Rattus norvegicus: one gene and its partner. The protein of the gene in region 2 purifies or fractionates together with the protein of the main gene of each other region. This does not show direct contact. Links are inferred from orthologs where the notes say so. Each region holds a gene or a part of one and is shown on either strand. Other genes may lie near its edges.

Region 1 (4,998 bases), on a different chromosome or scaffold from region 2:
GTATCATGAAGCTGAGCCCTCCCAGCTGTCCACCACTCCTGCCTAAGTGCGTTCTATGAGATGATAACTAGCTCCTTGGGAACTCAATTAAGTTTAGGAAACAACCACAATCCCTGGAGCATTTATTATGGCCAATACAGATCTGCATCTCGAAAAAGCCCAGCATGAAAGAAACCCTTCACTTTTGATAAGCCCCGTTTCCCTTACTTAAATTTATACCAGAAGCCAGTTATTTTCCCATATAATGCCTACTCCTTCCTTCTACATTTTGTGGCATATGCTAGGGGCAAAACTTTCTCTAGATGAAAATGATATGCAATAGAATCGAGCTATGGAAGGTAGGTTTCTGACTTGCTGAGAAAGCAAATTTTACTATGAACTCTTCCAGCCACTTACAGCCACACCCTCCTACTACTCAGACACACCCCACGGCATTTTAACCCTCATTTCTTTATCTAACTCTCCCCTGACCTATCACAGTTAAAGTCGAACTCAGGGCCAGATTTTAAATCCCATAAGCATTTTCAGGAAAAAGCATAAGATATCTATAGCACCAAAGACATGGAACCATGTGAAACAGAGTAAGTAGGAATCATGTGGTCAAAACAAACTCCTGGCATGCTCACCTAAGAGTACTTGCTTTACCTTGACAAATCCATGCTCAGAAACCAAAGCAGCTAAAGACTTGCTTGGTGCCTGCCTGGTGGAGTCACTGTGCTCTACCAATCCATCTAAAACCGGCTGGTGGGTGCAGCCAATCCTCACTACCATGAGCACTGATCTCATCATCACTTGGAAGGGCTGTGATGATACTTGGATGACTCTGGATTCTTTCAAAGTGCACATGCACAGGATCCCTTCAGAGGACAGGGTCACTAACATGAGCATGTTCTAACTACTGCACTCATTCTACTAATACTTGGTATCTCTTGGCAAGAAGCAAGGCCTGTCACTCATATGGTCCTAAGTATGAGTTAAAAATACTTCTTGTAGCTGTGACACGTAAAATGCTGGAATGTTCCTAGTTCCCTCTCTGACTTATACAGTCTCCGAAAAGTTTGGCCTAGTATCTGGACCAAGGCACTAGTGCTGTTCTATAACTCTCTCACTTCACTATACACATCCTACCTTGTTTAACTGACCAAGACTTAGCTCTCAATATGACTGCCAGGGCCTCGCACACAGGCATCAGCACTTAAGAATCTTTAGAATCTCCCATAGCAGGGATCACATGCAAACTCACAAAATAGTGTTGATTTAAATAGCCAGGCTTAAGGCTAATAGTGCCCAGTCCTGGAGAATTTATTTTAGCCCAGTGCTAAAATAAAAGTACACGTGGATTATCTGACTTAATCTTCAGAATTCTACACAAGAATGAGAATTTTCCTGAGGAAAAGAAGTGAAGCTCCAAGTAACTTCTCCAAGGTCATAAACCTTTAAGTGACAAATCTAGGGCCTACATCCAGCTAGGCAGTGCTTAGAATTCTTCAATGCTGGAGGCCTGGATACCAGTCCATGAGAGATTTCGACCTCAGAGAAGTTTTAATGTCAACAGCATAAACGTTCTAGCTAAAAGTTAGGACTTCAAAAACGGATGAATTTGTGAGGATAATTTCCAGCAGGTGTTTTTAAATCAAAAATAAAACTAGAGGGAAAGCTGCTCGTGGCCTAACGAAAGTGTGACTTTAAGGTGTGGGGTCACAAGCTCATCAAGAGGTGCCTCATGACAATTACGGCTTTGGTCTGGATTTTTAAAATAGGACTCTTTCTCTGCCTCCAGAATGGCATGGAAATGATAGTCAGCTATGGTGGCTACTGCTTCACGGCTCCGAAATTATGTCAGACCCAATTCTTGTTCTCAAAAATAAAATTCAGGGTTCCTGTTCCACCGCCGCCGACTTCACACAAAGCAGCCCCATCCCTCCACTGCCCTCTTCACACACACACAAAGCAAAGCTTTACCCCAACTACCCAAAGGGGAGTGACGTTAACCCGGCCTCCCCACAAACATACCCATCTCACTCAAGTCCAAAGCCCTGACTGCTACTCTGTATGTCCCCGCACCTGGTCGTTACCTCTTGAAGCAGACCTCTCCCTATATCCAAAACGCTCAGAACACCATCCGAAAGCCAGTCTTTCACACAAAGCAGGATCACTTCCTACGAAGCAGCTTGGTACCTCTGAGTGCTCTGAGCGTGCGGGCCCACCGGGACTGTGCCAAGCCACAGACCCCATCTGGGTCCAGTTGGGTCCAGCACCCAGAGGTTCCACGACCCAGAAGAGAACTAGCTACAGACCTGTTTCCAAGGCACGCCTCGAACCCCCAAACTCCAGCCAACCTGCCCGCAGCAGAATCAGGCAAAGCCTGCGTCCCCACCACCGCCGAGCCCACCCTGCTTCCCCAGGGACACCCCTCCCCCAGGCCCACCCGGCCCGGCGCCCCGCGCTCACCAGCTCTCTTCTTCCTCCTCCCAGCCTGACAAGCGCTCCAGCTCGTCGGGCCGCAGCGGTTCTACCTCGTCCAGCAAGCCGCCCTCACCAGCCGCCAGCAAGGAGGTGGCGTCCCGCAGATCCTCACTGCTGGTCCGTCGCGGGCCCGAGCCCGCCCCGCCGCTCGCCTTGGCGCCCAGGCCCAGCGGGAAGCCCCGAGGGGACGCCGCGCCCGAGGAGGGGGTGGACACGCCGGCCCGAGCAGGGCTGCCCGGCCCGAGGAGGCCTGCACTCTGCACGGCTCCTGAGCGGCTCCTCAGCTGCTCGTTCTGCTTCTCCAGCTTCTTCACCAGCTCCTGCAGCTTCCGCACCTCCTGGTCCGCGTTCACATTGGAGTTAACGTCCTCCATGCCGGCCGCGCCGCCCGCTCCGACTCCCAAGCCGCAGGGGAAGCACGGGGGAGAGAGGCGTTACCGCCACCGCTCACGCTAGCCGAGGCGCCGGCATAGAGCAGGGCCAGGCCCCACCGCCAGGGTCCCCCCGGCTCGGGTTGCGAAGCGCCGCTGGCCCCAGCCGAGCCGCCTCATCTGCGCCGGCTCCGCGACTGGGGGAGGCGGCGCCAATATCCGGCCTCGGCCGCCATCTTCCCTCCGTCCCTCCGCCCCCTGCCGGCCAGCCCGGTCGGTGACCTCAGAGCGTCAGGGGAGGACGTGGCTGCCCGTGGGCTGAAAGAACTAAGCGCCCGGCTCGCGGTGGGGCGGGGCTGGGGGCGGGGCCTGAAAACGGGAGGGACCAAGAGGGGCGGGGGTCATTGTTAGGGGCGGGGCCCCAGCCGGAAGGGGTGTGGTGGGCGCCGGCGAAGGTGGGTCGGGCTGGGTTAGCTCTGGAGTTTTGCCCTGTCCGCCTATCCTGCCCAAAGATAGTTGTGAGCCAGGGTGAAATCGAGAACCGGGATCCAGATCCAGCTCAGGCTCCGGTTCAGCCCCGCCTTTGGCGTCTGTGGCAAGGGGTGGGTGCTGAGACTCGCGGACCGATGGCCTCGCCTGGCTGCATGGATGGTTTCCTTGGTTTGTTTGGCAATACTGAGTAGGTTCCTGCTTGAAACCGGAGACTGTCGGAGCTGGCAGCAGCCCCGGGGACCATCTGTGGCCCGTTCCATCCCCTGAAAATGAGAACCCGAATCCCGAATGGTTGAGAGCTCGGAAGTCTAATAACCGTAATTTGTTGAGTGGTTCCTATGGGCCAGACACTGCGCTAAGCACTTTTAAAGGCATTATTTCATCCGTTTAAAACGCGTGGGCGGGGGTTGTTTTGTTTTGTTTCGTTGGCTTAAGGTTTACAGCTCAGAGACAGTCGGATGATGGAAAAGACTTCTGTGCTAATCTTTCAACGGTAATTAATGCGCGTTGTATTCCTTGGATACTCCCTTTACCCCAAAAGACTTTTTAATAGTATGTCTTGACTTTTTGGTTTTCGAGGCAAGATTTCTCCGTGTAGTCCTGACTGTCCTGAAACTCGCTCTGTAGACCAGGCTGGCCTCGAAAGCTCAGCCTCTCCCTCCTTTCAAAAGCTGCGATCAAAGGCTTGTGACTCTTTTATTTTTTTTAAGTTGTTCATGAAAAGTATTTAAGCAATCCGTTGACAGGGATTAGAGAGTGTTGAAGGGTAGTAGACGTAAAATTCTGCCCTCGGTGGCATCTATTTGTACTGGTGGAAGCGACTGCAAACAAAACTTAATGCTTTGTTTCTGTCATATTGGCTCACTCCTCCACAGTTGTCCGTTGTGAGCTACTTACCTATATGGTAAGCAGCCAAACAAGCCTGCTCTCTCAACTTTTCCAGCTGATGTTTGCAGTTGACTCCCAATTGCCTCCTCCACCCTCGAACCAGTCTTATTACACCTGGGTGTGGACTCACATAAAGACTTAAACCCTTCTGCCTTTCCGTGCTGTATTTTCCTTGCCTAGACCATCCTACCTACCATATTTGACGCCTCTTTGTAAAAATCCTTGGAAGGAGTTACTGTCTTGGCGCTGAAATCACCTCAATAGTTGGCTACAGATATTTGTATTTTAATTTGGTTTGATCTGTATAGTTGACAAAAGGACTCGTTCCATTTTCCTTGCTTATGAGGCTGACATGCACATGCCTGTTTTGCTGGAATTAAACAGAAGATGAGTTTTGATAGTCCAAAAATAAATTCTTTGAGTATGCTAAAGTTTGCTGTCAAGTGTGTTTTCCTAGCTATGCAGACACATTAAAAGCATGCCTTTGCTTGTTAAAATTTTGTAAAACGAAATGCATTATCTGTGTAGTGCACATTAAATGCTACGATTGTGCCTGACACATCTGATCTCATTGTTGAAGGTTTCATCACCAAGGGTTCATCACACACCACAGTAATTCATTTACATTATCTGCTTATGACATGGATTCCGATTCCATGTTAGCCAAGCTTCAAATGAACTCTTTAAGGGTATTCCTTGAAAAACTCACTTAACATTCTGAAGTTAGCATTGGTGTTCTTGAGAGGAAAGCGCAATGTGATATGGAATAATTATCGGGATC
Region 2 (4,860 bases):
TATTTTAACCACACAACAGAATTTATACCAGGCTGTTTTGAGACTTCCTTCCTCAAAGCAATCTAAATCTTTTCACCTTAGCCTCAGGCAGACTCTTCACACAATGGCAAAAAACAGCCACATTCTTCACCAAAATACCACAAATACAGTCTCTACTCCACATACTGAAATTCTTCTCCACTGAAACCTCTTAGGCCAGTTCTGCACACTTCAAACCATTTTGGGCAACAAAGTCTTTCATATTCCTACTAGGATAGCCCATTAAGTCCCACTTAAAGGATTCCACTGCTTTCCAAATCTAAAGTCCCCAAATCCACATCCTTCCAAACAAAAGCAGACCTATTATATGGTCAGACCTATTACAGCATTACCCCAGTACCTGGTCCAAACTTCTGTCTTAGTTAGTAAAGGTTTTACTGCTATAAACAGATACCATAACAAAGGCAACTCTTATAAGGCCATTTCATTTAATTGGGGCTGGCTTACAGGATCAGAGGTTCAGTCAATTATCATCAAGATGGGAGCATGGCAGCATCCAGGCAGGGAAGGTACAGGATTGCTGAGAGTTCTACATCTTCATCTGAAGGCCACTAGGAAAAGACTGGCTTCCGGACATCGAGAATGAGGATCTTAAAGCCCAGACCCCCAACAAGGCCACACCTACTCCTACAGGGCTACACCTCCTAACAGTGCCACTCCCTGGACCAAGCATATACAAGCCATCACAATTAGCTACTGCTAGTAAACACATTTAAGAATTTACTTTGTTCAAGGCCCCAGGCTAAGCTAGAGGGATCATAGAAACTATAATTTACCATTGTAAATTGTTCAGAAGATAAATGTGTTAAATTCCCTTAGGTGCTTTTTTCCTGGCTCACAAGTGTGCTCCCTGAATCTAGAATAACGTTTTACCATCCAACAGCCATCAATCTCAGCAGGACACACGACATCCTGGCTTCACTAGAATATAAAATGTTCATTTGCTCTTGTTGGGTTTTTCTGCTGTTTTTTGAGACGGCCTCACTCTGTAATCCATTTTGGCCAGAAACTAACTATATAGCCCAGGCTGGTCTCGTGCTCACAGCAATCCTCCTGCTTCGGCCTCCCACATATTAAAATTAGAGGTGTGAACCATCATGCCTTGCAAGTTTTCATCTTTATCAAGACTTTTAACCAATGGGAACTGGAGAAAACAGCTTAGACTTAAGATTTGTTGTTCTTGCAGAGGACCCAAGTTTGGTTCCCAGTACCCACATGTCTACTTATAAGCATCTGTGACCCCAGTTCCAGGGCATCCAATGCCTTCTTCTGAAGGAAGTCTGTGAGAACAAACACATCCATAATGCACATACATACACAGACCGAACATTCATAAAATAAATCTTGGGAAAAATATTTTAACACTATCCAAAGCGATTGTTAAAGAAGTGAGTTATTTTTAATTGCTTTTTCCAAACCCAGGTTTAAATTATTTATTCATCGACTGAACTGCTACTGATGAATTACCACATACCACTCCACATAATTCAAAATTGATAATCCAAACTTTAAAAGAGAGGAAGGTATATGGCATATTGTTATGGAATACCTTTGCTTGCCACCTCCTTAAGTGAACAGCATTAAAAACTAAGGTAAAATTTTGGGACCAGAAAGGGGGAGTTAAATGGTGAGGGTGTTTTCTGCCAAGTCTTACAACTAAGGTTTGATCCTCGGAACCAACACGATAGAACTCCAGCAACTTGTCTGACATCAAGCATATGTACCCACTCACAAAAGTAAACATAAAAGATCTTTAAAAATATATGTGTGTGTGTGTGTGTGTGTGTGTGTGTGTGTGTGTGTGTGTTTTGCCTGTATGTCTGTGTACCATGTATATGCAGCACCCATGGAGGCCAGAGGAGAGTATCAGTCCCCATGGAACTGGAGTTACAGATGGTTGTGGCTGCTGGGACTAGACCCAGCTGCTCTGGAAAAGCAACCAGTACTTTAGCAAAGTACTAAAAGTCATCTCTCCAGCCCCATGTTAAAAAAAAAAAAATTTAAACAAGTTTTGTGTACAATTTTTTTCATTACAGGTTTACTACCTTGATTTAACTTACGCTGACAAAAAAAAAAGTTGATTTTGATTTTCTCTTCATTAAACCTTACTAGTCCAGTCACTTTAGAAAAGTCTCAAATGACCATTAGCTTGACTTATTCTTGCTCTTTAGGTCATAGAAGGAGTTTTCAGGGTGATGAAAATGGAAAAAAAGGGATTTCACCTTTCTAAAAATGAGTTTTCAGTTCTATAATTATGCATAATGTAAGACAAGCATCCTATCTGGGCCAAGATTTAATGCCTTGGTTCCTAGGAGAATTAAGAGTCGTGCATAAATTTGGGACAAGTTCTGCAAAACCTCTACTGGTGCTGAATCAGAAACTCATTGTTAAGATTCATCAACAAGAATATATTCTCTAACACACAGCAGCCACTCTGACAACATTTCTTTCATCATGCCCTACGCAAGAAACAAAATGGGATGCATTCAATCTTGCATAGCAATTACCGAGACTTTGGTCAGCTCTCTCAACAACGATTTGCTAAGAGCTAAAAAGTGAGAATCTCATCTATCGAGCCTTAAAGTGGCAAGGCCTGGCTAACCTACCCTACACTGCTGGCTATTGTACTGGTCCCGGAAACCTTCACAGCTGCAAAATACCTGAACTCTGCTGACACTTTCTGAGGGAGAAAACCAAGGGCGGGGCGGTGAACGAACAGAATCCTTACAAAATCATCGCAGGTAGTGGACGCAGGTATGAAGGCAGGCTCGGACACCAGGATCTGGTCCCGCTCTGAGACAACTAGGCCCTTCACACCCACTACAGCCCTCCCGTGCTCTTGTTCATTCATTTAACAATTCCGCGAGGCGCACTCCACCAAGGGCCTGCTGGCAGGGCCCCCGCCCCAACCTCGGACATCTCAGCCTTCGGGCGCGGCCCGGCGCCGCCCGCGAACCTCTGAAGCTGCAGTAGCTCTCCGCCGCGTGCTCTGCTCACCTGAACCCCAGCCCCGGTCACCAACACAAGCGAGCGCCCACGCCCCCCGCCCTGCCAGCCGCGGGCTCCCAGGCCTCCGCCCCGCTTCGCCGCCTCAGACCTGCCGGGTTCGCGAGAACGCGGAGGCGCGCGTCCGCGAGGGCCCCGCCCGCGGCTGTGGGTCCCCTAGCGCGCGCGACGCCGGATCCTCAGGGTCCAGGCGAACAAGTGAGGCCCACCGTCCACTCACCTCCGCTGGGTCAGAACCGAGGGGCCTGCTCTAAGCCGTTTAAAACCGCTTGAGCCGCCGCACACCCCGCAGTGTCCTCGTTGTTTATTGGTCCTCGGAGAACCGCCTATCGTCCCTTTATTGGTCCGTTTGAAAGGGCTATGGGCACGCGCCGCCTGCGGCCTTAAAGGGAACGCGCGCAGCTGCGTTTCCTAGAGCTGCTTGTCAGGTGCTTGTCAGCCAGTGGCTGGAGGAATGGCTACCAAGGCTTCAGATAGAAAAACGAAAGGTTTGTGGAAAACTATGCATTTTCAGCCATCATCACGTTGCCTTTACCTAACTACTGATGCTTAAACTGCTGTCAACACCTCTGCCCTCTTTGTTTGTTTGAGAGCTTGCAATCGCAAATATTGATGATACTGTTCTGTGCTGAGAGGAAACCAAGAGGCAACTGGGATGTAGCAGAAGAAGCCTCGGATGGAGGCAGGATGCTAAATAGTAGTCTTGTACTTCTTTTGAACAAATCACTTTTCTCAGTTAATCCGGACCTCAGTTTCTTTGTGTAGGAAATGGGATAATTATGTTTTCCTTACAAATTTAATATAAATATTTAAATATTTTAAATTTCCTTACAAGTTTAAATTAAAGGCAGTGATGCCTTTGATCCCAACTGAGGCAAGCAGATCTCGAATTCGGGGCCAACCGGTCTACTGAGCCAAGTTCCAGGACAGCCAGAAAAGCCCTATTTCAAAAAACAAAACAAAACAAAACAAACCCCAAACCAAAATCAAACAAACAAAAAAAAATCCAAAATTTAATGTAAGGATTTTATGAACTACAATACCTTCTCAAGTGATTATCAAATTCTTATAAAAAGGAGAGGCTTCATTTGATGAAATATGATTATCAAAAATCTATTTTACTACATTTTATTTGCCTTATAGATGGGTAGTGGTTAAGAAAGTCAAAGGGCAACTTGCTAGGCATTGGTTCTCTCCTTCTACCGTATGGTTTTGGGAATTCAAATTCAGGTCCCCAGACTTGACAGCAAACACCTCTACCCATTGAGCCATCTTGCCTGCACTATTTTAGTCTTTGAGACAGGGTTCCAATCTGTAGTCCAAGATAACTTGGAACTGGCACTATAGACCAGGATGCATCAAAAATGTAGCATCATTCCACCTCACCTTCCAAGTCGTGGGATTACAGGCACATGCAACACCATACCCAGCTAAAATTCTTTCTTGAATCAATATCCAACATTTCTACAATATTAGGTTATAATATAATAATGATTATTTTTTAAAAATTTAATGTGAGGATTTAATATGACAAGGCAGAGACAGAAGATCTCCGAGTTCAAGGCCAGCCTGGTCTACAAATCAAGTTCCAGGATTGCACAGGCTTACACAGAGAAACCTTATCTTGAAAAACCAAAACCAACCAACCAACCAAACAAACAAACAAACAAACAAGAAACCAAAAGTTAGGGAAGAAAGATATGAATACGGTGGTTCACAACTGTCATTTTAGCACTCTAGGGGTAGAGGCAAGAATGTGGAATTAAGGTAAGCCTTAGCTATGTAGTGCATGGTAAGCCAGCCAGGGCTGGAGGA

What was found.
Region 1: the proteins of Ckap5 (region 2) and Slain2 purify together in Homo sapiens (affinity purification with mass spectrometry; 4 studies listed by BioGRID and IntAct, counting the BioPlex papers as one, with this or other methods). This does not show direct contact. The link is inferred for Rattus norvegicus from reciprocal best matches to the Homo sapiens genes CKAP5 and SLAIN2.

Annotation. Positions count from the first base shown.
Region 1 is NC_086032.1:35,655,604-35,660,601, forward strand, and holds the start of Slain2 (SLAIN motif-containing protein 2), read right to left. Parts: upstream 3,082-4,998; 5' UTR 2,841-3,081; coding exon 2,452-2,840; intron 1-2,451.
Region 2 is NC_086021.1:97,945,512-97,950,371, reverse strand, and holds the start of Ckap5 (cytoskeleton-associated protein 5), read right to left. Parts: upstream 3,325-4,860; 5' UTR 3,266-3,324; intron 3,167-3,265; exon of another isoform or gene 2,768-3,166; intron 1-2,767. UniProt on the Homo sapiens protein: Binds to the plus end of microtubules and regulates microtubule dynamics and microtubule organization. Acts as a processive microtubule polymerase. Promotes cytoplasmic microtubule nucleation and elongation. Plays a major role in organizing spindle poles.